Saccharomyces cerevisiae S288C: one gene and its partners. The protein of the gene in region 2 interacts with the protein of the main gene of each other region in a biochemical or structural test. Each region holds a gene or a part of one and is shown on either strand. Other genes may lie near its edges.

Region 1 (5,104 bases), on a different chromosome or scaffold from region 2:
GGTGCCTTTACGCCGTATATCTTTTTCTAGCAGGGAAACATTGGGGAGCAATAGCGGTGGTAGCGATCGATCTCTATTTCTTACTGTAATGCTTGTGGACATCTTCTTTTGACATACGATGACCTCAATGATTTAGATTATGTGTTGCACTTTTATAGACCTACCAAAAATCCAGTGCGTACACTAATACTTTCATAAAGATACCTGAAACAATAACCAGAAAGATCGGCAAAAAAATTTTTTTTCTTTGCCGAGATCACAAACCTACTATGACGAAAAAGCTTGAAGTTTAGATGAGTAAGGAAAATACAAGTGACGCTTTTATATGGTGCAAGGAACAAAAACTAAAAACAACAAGGCAAATGTGGATCTGTCATGTATGGCAACGACAGCAGGATGGCTCACAAAAAAAGACAAAAAAAACTAAGGCAAAAGAACAAAGCTCCTCTCCTGCTCAAGAAACGTATTGTTGAAAAACCACCGTCGTAAGAAAGTTTTTCTGTGACCTATAATGGTTTAAAATCGGCCCATTTTTTTTCCCTCTTTTGTGGTCCAGTCTTTCTCATACTCGAGGGAAATTCGACACAAACAGCGGAGAAGTGTGGCTAAACCGGCAAGTGCCTGCAAGATCCACAGAACTAACCGCACGAACTGGCGGTCAGAAAAGAGCCTGTTCCGGAAAGAGAGAAACAGAGAAACGATCATGATGGGAAAGCGGGGATTCGGCGAAGAACGAGACTGGAAAGGGAAAAAGAGAAATACTGGTGGAAGTATTCGGACCTTTGGCGAAGTCCGAACCCTTGAAACCCAAAGATGATCGATGATTCATTTTTCAATGCGCTACGGTTCCTGCCGCTCGTGGGAACCCCACGCAAAACATATTATTCGCTTCTCTCTGCTGACAACTCCGGTTTACGTTATACCGTATTAGGATCACTATAAGGGTTCCTTCGGGAGGAGGGGGGAGGGGAAGAATGTACATCGTCATAAGGCCTTTATGGTGTGAAGTGGGTTTTGCGTGGAAAATTCGTTTTCAATGATATAGAGCCCACGCATATACGTACATACTAGTGGCCAAAAGCGTGGGGTGGGCGGACAAAGCTACACTGGTAAAATACAGGATTCTATGAACAATAACAACAACCAGCTCACGTTGCTGAACAGCCGAGGTCAGCCGATGCAACCGAGGTTTCCAAAGTAGCATTTCTGTGCTAGCTATGTCTGTAGGTTTACATTTAATGGTGCGTGGTTCCAGCTTCATGTGCTTGCATGTGATGTCCTGCAGATGGTAAGAAGATTCTGAAAGCCGCGCTAGGAGAAAAATATTCTGCTCGAAGATCTGTCCTCTTAAGTAGAAAGCGTGAAATTGTTGCGTTCTTGCATTACTACTCAACGCGTACGCAAATGCGTCTACTGCACCTGCATGATAAAGCTTATGTATCAAAAATTTAACATCTTGAAAATACACAAGTGGTGCAAAGATGTGTCACGTTCTGGACCTGAGTGGTGCCATGTATGCTATTTAACATGCAAAGGGGAAGACCCTTCCGCCTTACTGCAATAATAAAAAGTATTTTACGCGTTACCCAATATAGCAAAGTTTCGCGCAAAAAAAAAAATAAAAAACAATTACAAACAAAAAGAAAAAAAAGGAAATAATAGAAGATCTAACTGAAGCGAAGGCCAAAACTCTTCTCACTTGACGTAATAGCCGATACAAAATCTAGAGCAGCAACTTTTCTCTTTCTTCACTAAAGCTGCTACGAAAGTATAGAAAAATCAAACGCTCAGAACTTAGCTCTATTTCAAGGTACCATATATATTTCCTTATAACTGATGGCAAGACGCAGATTACCAGACAGACCACCAAATGGAATAGGAGCCGGTGAACGGCCGAGACTGGTACCTAGGCCTATTAACGTACAAGACTCGGTGAACCGACTAACGAAACCGTTCAGGGTCCCGTACAAGAACACGCACATCCCGCCCGCTGCTGGTAGAATCGCCACCGGGTCTGATAATATCGTAGGAGGAAGGAGCTTGAGGAAAAGATCAGCGACTGTATGTTATTCCGGCTTGGATATAAATGCGGACGAAGCAGAGTACAACAGCCAAGACATAAGTTTTTCTCAGTTGACTAAACGACGGAAGGATGCTCTTAGTGCTCAAAGGTTGGCCAAGGATCCGACAAGACTGAGTCATATCCAGTACACTTTGAGAAGATCTTTCACTGTGCCAATCAAGGGATATGTACAAAGACACAGTCTGCCATTAACGTTAGGAATGAAAAAAAAAATTACTCCAGAACCTCGACCTCTACATGACCCTACAGACGAATTTGCCATAGTGCTTTATGACCCGTCCGTTGACGGTGAAATGATTGTCCATGACACATCTATGGATAACAAGGAAGAAGAATCAAAGAAAATGATCAAAAGCACACAGGAAAAGGATAATATTAACAAGGAAAAGAATAGCCAGGAAGAAAGACCCACACAAAGAATAGGACGCCATCCAGCTTTGATGACAAATGGTGTGAGAAACAAACCGTTACGTGAGCTACTCGGTGATTCGGAAAACTCTGCGGAAAACAAGAAGAAATTTGCTAGTGTCCCTGTGGTTATTGATCCAAAACTGGCCAAGATTTTAAGACCCCATCAAGTCGAAGGGGTGAGATTCTTATACCGTTGTGTCACAGGGCTTGTCATGAAAGATTACTTAGAAGCTGAGGCGTTCAACACTTCAAGCGAAGATCCCTTAAAGAGCGACGAGAAGGCACTTACTGAATCTCAAAAGACTGAACAAAACAATAGAGGGGCCTACGGCTGCATCATGGCCGATGAAATGGGGCTGGGTAAGACATTGCAGTGTATAGCACTTATGTGGACATTATTAAGACAGGGCCCGCAGGGTAAAAGACTTATCGACAAATGTATCATTGTTTGTCCATCTTCTTTAGTCAACAACTGGGCTAATGAATTGATAAAATGGTTGGGTCCCAATACTCTAACTCCGTTAGCGGTTGATGGGAAAAAATCTTCAATGGGTGGTGGTAATACAACAGTTTCGCAAGCTATTCATGCCTGGGCTCAGGCACAGGGAAGAAATATTGTTAAGCCCGTTTTAATCATATCGTATGAAACATTACGTCGAAATGTTGATCAATTGAAAAACTGCAATGTGGGTTTAATGCTGGCAGATGAAGGGCACCGTTTGAAAAACGGTGACTCTTTAACATTCACAGCTTTGGATAGCATCAGTTGTCCTAGAAGAGTTATATTATCTGGTACACCCATTCAAAACGATCTTTCCGAATATTTTGCTCTACTGAGTTTTTCGAATCCTGGCTTATTAGGTTCCAGAGCAGAATTTAGGAAAAATTTTGAGAATCCAATTTTGCGAGGGCGTGATGCTGATGCTACTGATAAAGAAATCACAAAGGGCGAGGCGCAATTACAGAAGCTATCTACCATTGTCTCCAAATTTATTATCCGTCGTACTAACGATATTTTGGCCAAATATTTGCCTTGCAAGTATGAGCACGTTATTTTCGTAAACTTGAAGCCGTTGCAGAACGAGCTCTACAATAAATTAATTAAGTCAAGAGAAGTGAAAAAAGTAGTAAAAGGTGTTGGTGGGTCTCAGCCCCTGAGGGCTATTGGTATTTTAAAGAAGCTATGTAATCACCCTAATCTCTTGAATTTTGAAGATGAATTTGACGATGAAGATGATTTGGAACTACCTGACGATTATAATATGCCGGGTTCAAAAGCCAGGGACGTACAAACAAAATATTCAGCTAAATTTTCCATTTTGGAAAGATTTCTCCATAAGATAAAGACCGAATCCGATGATAAGATTGTTTTGATCTCCAACTATACCCAAACCTTGGACCTCATTGAAAAAATGTGTAGATATAAGCACTACAGTGCTGTACGGTTGGATGGTACAATGTCAATTAACAAAAGACAAAAATTGGTGGATAGGTTCAACGATCCTGAAGGCCAAGAGTTCATCTTCCTCTTAAGTTCTAAAGCAGGTGGGTGTGGTATCAATTTGATTGGTGCAAATCGATTAATTTTGATGGATCCGGATTGGAATCCTGCTGCTGATCAACAAGCTTTGGCACGTGTTTGGAGAGACGGTCAAAAAAAGGATTGTTTCATTTACAGATTCATATCGACTGGTACCATAGAGGAAAAAATCTTTCAAAGACAATCTATGAAAATGAGTTTGAGTTCATGCGTGGTCGATGCGAAAGAAGACGTTGAAAGGTTGTTTAGTTCTGACAATTTAAGACAGTTGTTTCAAAAAAATGAGAATACGATATGTGAAACACACGAAACATACCATTGTAAACGTTGTAATGCTCAGGGTAAACAATTAAAGAGAGCCCCTGCAATGTTATATGGTGATGCGACAACTTGGAATCATTTGAACCATGACGCATTGGAAAAAACAAATGATCATCTACTAAAAAACGAGCATCATTACAATGATATCAGTTTTGCATTTCAATATATTTCACATTGATCTCTTACATACATGTACTTATAAAACAAAAACAAAAAGTAGAATTCGATCGTCGGGGGGTCATTACATATTTATTTTAAATGATGGGCATGGTTATATATATTTAGACGTAATAAACAATTGAAAATTGGGGCCAAATTGGTAAATATCTCTATGTATTTCAATCAAAAAAGTATAATCGTATAACTTAAGGGTAAAAAAAGTTGAGCGATGTCATATTATACTTGTGCTAGCTTTTAAATTTTTCATTATCTTCAGTTTTATCGTGGTAAAGTGCCAGCCGAAACTGCCAAAAAAGATTATGGCAAGAAAATCTCACGCTGTCAGGGAAATAAAAATCTGATACAGTTTCACACTCTCAGAAGGATTAACTTTAACTATTACCTAACACCAATATCTGAAGAGAATGGATGAAATTCTTGCCAAAGCAGGTTCACAAGCCGTTACATTTGCTATAAAATCCGGAATATCGATAGCATCCACATATGCGCTAAAGACAATAACGAACTTTGTCGTCCAGATTCCTAAGGATGATGCTAGAAGAATAGATCAACTGAAATTTAAACTGGAA
Region 2 (3,304 bases):
ATCAAGTTCCCCATCCTAATAAGTATTAAAAGCGCCAATTTTTCAAGAGACTCGCGGCTGGTGAATAACGCTGCTCCTTAGAAAAGGACAGCCAGCGGATAGCTACTCAGATCTTCGACTGACTTTATGCATTTTAGTATTTATATATTCATTCGATCTATTCTGTTTACTTAAAAATTAAAGATGAGTTGGATGTGGAAAATTCTTGACGTTCCGCTGATATTTTGTGTTGGGGTTGTTTTTGGGACCATGAGATTGCCATGAACCGATCAATCTTGTCTCATCTTCAAGTATCTCTTCACCACTTCATCCTTCTTGATGATGTATACTACAGCTCCCCAGCCTGATAGAGCGTCACGGTCAGCAGCATTCAGTAGGGCCTGACTTATAGTTTCGAAAAGATCTTCTGGCTCTAGATTAGGTTCGTACAGGGACTCACACATACCGAACAGTTGGTCGGATGCAGTACCGCTAACGATAAAATCCTTGGCCTCGTCGATACAGCCGATTAGGTCGAATCCCGCAATAAAGGGCTTCCCGGACTTGGAATTAATACCTGCTACCACCGGCCCCACAAAGTATGGACCGAATCTTCTTTCATAAAGTGAACTTGACACTAATTGGGTAAACGTTTCAGGCTCAATGGCCCTTTCTTCCTTCAACTTATATAGGTTCGTCTTGTAGCGGAACATCTCGTTCAGAGTAGTCACGTCGGTAGCCAGACCGGTAATCCCTAAGAACACATGCCCATAGTGGAAGATTTTTTCAAACTTGTTCGACACACCTAGTGACTGGCTTCCGAGACGCAAATCACAGGCAATGGCCACACAGTCTTTACCTGTCATCGCAACGACGATACCACCGTTAATAGAACTTGGATCCGACATTTTTTTTTTATGCTTTATTCACTGTTCAATATTTTCACCACAATTCGCAAGAAACGCACTCTACTTCGAAACTACGGTTCAAACTTACTTAGCAGCTTCCCGATTTAATTGGCCTTTCTACTATGCCATAAACTCTTTCTTCCTCTCTTTTCATCGCCCCTGCATTTGCACTTTTTTGCCACCGGCAGTGCCATCCGGTCACATGACTACACCACGTTAATAGCGATCTGGCTTATCATTGTCACAGAGTAAATTAAAATGGACGGTAAATGTTGGAAATGCACCACTACCGTTCTTCAACCAATCTAGTTTAGCTATCCTGCAACAGGTGGCCTTCTTGAGCATTCCCTGAGCATTCCAACCGGTTGTATCAGTGTTTTATCACCGTCTCACCATATCCCACGACTAGGCCACACTTCGTTACCCTATGCTACGCGTCATTTCCGCTATTTCTGTCCTGGTTTGTTTACAGTACGCGTGGTGGGACCATAAAGGGGAATAGTGGGGACTGGAGAAAAAATTTTCTCAGTTACTTCTTCTATCTTCCGTAGTTTCCATATACTAGTAGTTGAGTGTAGCGACAAAGAGCAGACGTAGTTATTTGTTAAAGGCCTACTAATTTGTTATCGTCATATGTCTCAAGTTCAAGAACAACATATATCAGAGTCACAGCTTCAGTACGGGAACGGTTCGTTGATGTCCACTGTACCAGCAGACCTTTCACAGTCAGTCGTTGATGGAAACGGCAACGGTAGCAGCGAAGATATTGAGGCCACCAACGGCTCCGGCGATGGTGGCGGATTGCAGGAGCAAGCGGAAGCGCAAGGTGAAATGGAGGATGAAGCATACGATGAAGCTGCCTTAGGTTCGTTTGTGCCAATAGAAAAACTGCAAGTGAACGGGATTACTATGGCGGATGTGAAAAAACTAAGGGAGAGTGGGCTTCACACTGCTGAAGCGGTAGCATATGCTCCCAGAAAGGATTTATTGGAAATCAAAGGTATATCGGAAGCTAAGGCAGATAAGTTGCTAAACGAAGCGGCAAGGCTAGTGCCTATGGGATTTGTCACGGCTGCTGATTTTCATATGAGAAGATCGGAGCTGATTTGTTTGACAACGGGTTCTAAGAATTTGGACACTCTTTTGGGTGGTGGTGTGGAAACTGGTTCTATTACTGAGCTTTTCGGTGAATTCAGGACAGGTAAGTCCCAGCTATGTCACACTTTGGCCGTGACATGCCAAATTCCATTGGATATTGGTGGCGGTGAAGGTAAGTGTTTGTATATCGATACCGAAGGTACTTTCAGGCCGGTAAGATTGGTATCCATAGCTCAGCGGTTCGGATTAGACCCGGATGATGCTTTGAACAACGTTGCGTATGCAAGAGCCTATAACGCCGATCATCAGTTAAGACTTCTGGATGCTGCTGCCCAAATGATGAGCGAGTCTCGGTTTTCCTTGATTGTGGTCGATTCTGTTATGGCTCTATACCGTACGGATTTTTCTGGTCGTGGTGAACTAAGCGCAAGGCAAATGCATTTAGCCAAATTTATGCGTGCTTTGCAAAGGCTGGCCGACCAATTTGGTGTTGCAGTCGTCGTTACTAACCAAGTGGTCGCCCAAGTTGATGGTGGTATGGCTTTTAATCCAGATCCAAAGAAGCCTATCGGTGGTAATATTATGGCACATTCTTCCACCACGCGATTAGGTTTCAAAAAGGGTAAGGGATGTCAAAGATTATGCAAAGTTGTTGACTCACCTTGCTTACCAGAGGCTGAATGTGTGTTCGCGATCTATGAAGATGGTGTTGGTGACCCCAGAGAAGAAGACGAGTAGGTATTTGGTCTCTTGTCTCTATTTATTTACACAGGTTTACTTTCAATTCTCCTCTTTTTCTTAGGTTGCGTTCCGTACATTTTTATCTTCATTTCCATCCACTGTCTTAGATTTTTGCATATATTTTGTCATATACCTCGCAACCCTACTGCGGTCTTAACCTTTTTTTTCAGTTCTTTTAAATAACTTTCGTATTGTCTGTCACCCATGAAATATATGTATTTTTCTACTCTTCTTCCCGATGACTACTTCCTCCTGCAGGGTCCGCGCGGCTTTATCCTTTTAGGGGAGTGAAGAGAAAAATTTTCTGATATGTCGCCATCCTCTTATAAAACCAACGTAAAATACCATACACTTCTTTATGGCAATGAATTTCCTTGTCTTCGTTTCGACGTTTTTAAATTGAATAAAAAATTGTACTTGGAAAAAAGAATAGAACAATACTTTTGCTAACAGCAAGAGAAGTACGGTTGACATTACGAGTATCCCTTTGTTAAAATCAGGCAGTACCCATAATGTCCATGACTATTTGCTCAAATACTCCTGGTGCATACCCTGAAATTGGAGCTTATAATGAGGTT
Region 3 (3,513 bases), on a different chromosome or scaffold from region 2:
TAGTTCAATTGCGTGACATCTTTCTTTCTGATATTGTCGATCTGAAATACAAAAATCAATTATGGTCAGAAGTGGTAAAATATTTAGAGCATAATAACAGTAATATTAAATCGAACTTAACTGAAATTCGAGGTGAAATAATGAAATGTTGGGAATGGATAGGTCCGATGGAACTCAATGAACCTAAGGATTCCGCTGAAAACAAAATATAACCCACAAAATGAAACTCAAACGTAGTTTTCTCTTCTCAAACTTAATGATCTATTGTTTTTCCGAGTTGCCATATTTGTATAGTTTATTCTATTTATACGGTTATCCTAATATCTGTTATATAATTCTTTATGTAATACTTTTGTAAAGTTATAATGAATCTAATCCTGAAAATGACTTGTAAAATAATAAGAATTTTTTATTCGATTTAAAGTAAATATTAATACGACACATGGAGGAAAGAAAAACTAGACGATATAGGAAGAAATACAAATAAAATCAGAATTGAAAGAGTAACTAGAGGATTTTGGAGTAATAAATAATGATGCAAATTTTTTATTTGTTTCGGCCAGGAAGCGTTTCAAGTAGGCTTGCGTGCATGCAGGGGATTGATCTTTGGTCTTCCAACTTCTCTTCGTGTCGATCTTTGTTGCGGAACGGCTGGCACTGCACCATTTCCATTAGGATGTACTACCTTAGAAGGCGGCGCAAACCGTGGAGCAGCTGCAGGCGGAAAAGCTGTAGCGTTCGTTTTAATTGGTGTGGTTTCACGCGGTACTTGATTCCCAGCCCCTTCTAGCATATGAGGCCCCAGTTCTTTATCATTGTTCTTCATGCTCAATTGTTTTCCCTTTGGTGCAAATTTTTCATAGACAGAATCCCTCGCGGTGGTCATCGTTTTGTCTTTTAGCACACTCGCTGGAATATGCTTGGACGTAGTCTGATCAACGGTGTGCCTAATGGATTGTGCCTGGTATTTGGGATCAAAAATGCTCTCTTCACCAATATAACGTTCATTTTGTACGGAAGTTGCAGCCTTAGCTGTAACAAAGGTGATTTGTTCTGCCTCTGGGTTTGAGCTAGCAGTTGGGCTTTGCTTAGCTACAACGGGATCCTTCTCTGTCGTTAAAACATTACTGTTTGTGTTGCCCATATTTATCAAGTCGTCGTCTTGAAAATCATCGCTAAACATAAGAGAATCATCGAGAAGGTCATCTTGATCCTGTTTGGAAGCATCGAGAGATTTGAGATCAGTATCTTTATTACTGCTGTTTTTACTGTTAGCCTCAGCAGGTGCGGCCATCATTGGGGTACCTCGACTTACTGTATTTTCTATTTTCACCAGGTTCTTCGTCGAGTCGGGATTGGTATTTGTAACTTTAGTCAATTGCCTTCTTTTATTCGGGTATTGTTGTTGTTCTTGATTTTCATGCAAAGTATTCGTTCTTGAGCTTTCGCTGATTTCATCCGTTGGCCTAAACAAATTGTTTTCGTCAAAATCTGGCGGATCGAACTTCACCTTATCGATCTTTGCCAGAAAATCTTTATCGTAAAGACAATTTCCTAGAGCATTACCAAACCCTCTCAAAGATCTTTTCAAGGCATCCGTAACGGCAGATTTCTTGGCCCTTTCGAAAGCGGCAGGTTTCCGTCTTTCGTTCTCCACGGTACCATACCCAATATCTTCCCTATAAGTCCCGCTAGTCAACGTAACACGAACAATTGCAGTACACCCTATGCTAAACTTTCCCTGTCGCTCATCCAAAAAATCGATAACTACACTTTTTACCTCCGTAGACCAGCCATTATATCCAAAGATTTGATTAGCAAGATTAATTACTCTCCAACCTTCGATGTATGCAATCCTGCTTGTTCCAAACCCAACTCTCTTGGAGATATACTCAGGTCCTAATTTCTTGTCCAATTTGGTCTGTATGTCCTCGGAATGGTTACCGAAAACGGGCTTCTTCTCATCCATATCCATAATTTCATTCATCAACAACACACCAAAGCCACCAGAACCTTCAGCAGTTCTTGGCAACCTCCTTGTTTGCATTTGTTGATTCTCAGTGGCAAAATAGCTTAAAAACGCCATTCGATACCGGTCGCGTAACCCGCCCGCCGCTATATTTTTCGTCTTTTCTTAACAGACTAAAGAATATAATAACATCGAGAATCACTAACGGGAAGAGCAGACTCTTTGGCGATGAGTAAGTGTGATTGAGAAGACGAAAGGACATTACAGGGCAAGCAGATGATACAGACGCCAAGGGAGTTGTTGAATCCACGGTACACGTACCATACCATCTTTAGCGACGTGTGCAAGACCCGATTCAACCATTTAGTTACGAGGTTGTTTTTCATATGTTCTATTATCCAAACTGTGGTGATTTCACTGCTGGCGTTGCCACACTCACCGTTATGGGAACTGGCATTGGCATTTATTCCCAATATTTTAGCTCTTAACCTAGTTTCCCTTTTGATCATTGTGACAAGAAAAAATTACATGCATGTAAAGAATTTTGGGTTCGCTAATTCACTTACTTTCATTCTAGGCCAATTGTTATCAGTAAAGTTTCTTGTATACCAGGGAGTCTATAGCATGGGCAGCATCCTTTTATCATTCGTACTGGGTGTGGTTTTCGGACGTGGCGGATCTGGATGGAAGCCATACTATAAGCTGTTTATTTGGCTAGTCGTTCCCACGATTTACAACCTACAACATCATGTCACTGACGCTGACAAATTGTCGTTCAACTGCGAAAACTTTTTCCAGGCCCCACAAGACTACGTATTAGAGCGTGTCAAGAGGATTATGGAGAAGTCAGTCATTCTAAGTGTAATCAGCATGTTCGTATTACCAATCTTTACCACAGTATTTTTTTCCAGGCAAAAATCGGGATTATTTGATTCATTTACGAATGGCGTGCTAGCTGTCACAAATTTACTAATAATCTCCTGCATTATCTTCATCACTTTCGAATTCATAAATATAGCATTTGACGCACATATGTCCATAGGTTGTCTGCACAAGGGCAAGCTAATTTCGAATTTGTCGTCGACGCCGATGGAAACCCTGCTTAGTGGGCTTTCTGCAGACAAGCCATTTACTAGGTTGACTGCCTACCAGGAACTAGCGTATAGGGCCACTTCACTGGATCCATCATTGCGAGCACCAATATATCACTCCAAGTTCAGAAGCAGTAGTGGTAATACTTGGTCATTAATCCTCAATGAATGCTTGAAGACCATTCAGATAAACAATGAAAAGGTTGTGCAGTACCTAAGATCAGTACAAGATCTTGGGGGCTCTGCAACTGCTAGACATAAAAAAAAAGTAGAAAATCTAGATTATATGTATGAGAACGGGAAACTAACAAGCGCCAACGAAAGACTCTTTGGGAACCGACCCTCTATGATGGCGCCATTACGGGATAACGGCTTATTAGATGAATCACCAAACAGGCTGAGGGTAAGAACTGACGATAGTGTATTGCTTAACCGCGGAAACAAGAAAAGGCA

The links.
Region 1: the proteins of RAD51 (region 2) and RAD54 form a complex in vitro, tested with the Saccharomyces cerevisiae proteins (13 studies listed by BioGRID, with this or other methods).
Region 3: the proteins of RAD51 (region 2) and RAD52 form a complex in vitro, tested with the Saccharomyces cerevisiae proteins (14 studies listed by BioGRID, with this or other methods).

Annotation. Positions count from the first base shown.
Region 1 is NC_001139.9:193,136-198,239, reverse strand, and holds RAD54 (DNA-dependent ATPase RAD54), read left to right. Parts: upstream 1-1,836; coding exon 1,837-4,533; downstream 4,534-5,104. Other genes in the region: SUT1 (Sut1p), read right to left, coding at 1-102; YRB30 (Yrb30p), read left to right, coding at 4,940-5,104. UniProt on the Saccharomyces cerevisiae protein: Plays an essential role in homologous recombination (HR) which is a major pathway for repairing DNA double-strand breaks (DSBs), single-stranded DNA (ssDNA) gaps, and stalled or collapsed replication forks.
Region 2 is NC_001137.3:348,460-351,763, forward strand, and holds RAD51 (recombinase RAD51), read left to right. Parts: upstream 1-1,520; coding exon 1,521-2,723; downstream 2,724-3,304. Other genes in the region: PUP3 (proteasome core particle subunit beta 3), read right to left, coding at 270-887; SHC1 (Shc1p), read left to right, coding at 3,239-3,304. UniProt on the Saccharomyces cerevisiae protein: Required both for recombination and for the repair of DNA damage caused by X-rays. Its function may be modulated by interaction with other repair proteins. RAD52 interacts directly with RAD51, via its C-terminus.
Region 3 is NC_001145.3:211,944-215,456, forward strand, and holds RAD52 (recombinase RAD52), read right to left. Parts: upstream 1,988-3,513; coding exon 572-1,987; downstream 1-571. Other genes in the region: SRC1 (Src1p), read left to right, coding at 1-212; NDC1 (Ndc1p), read left to right, coding at 2,246-3,513. UniProt on the Saccharomyces cerevisiae protein: Involved in DNA double-strand break (DSB) repair and recombination. Promotes the annealing of complementary single-stranded DNA and by stimulation of the RAD51 recombinase.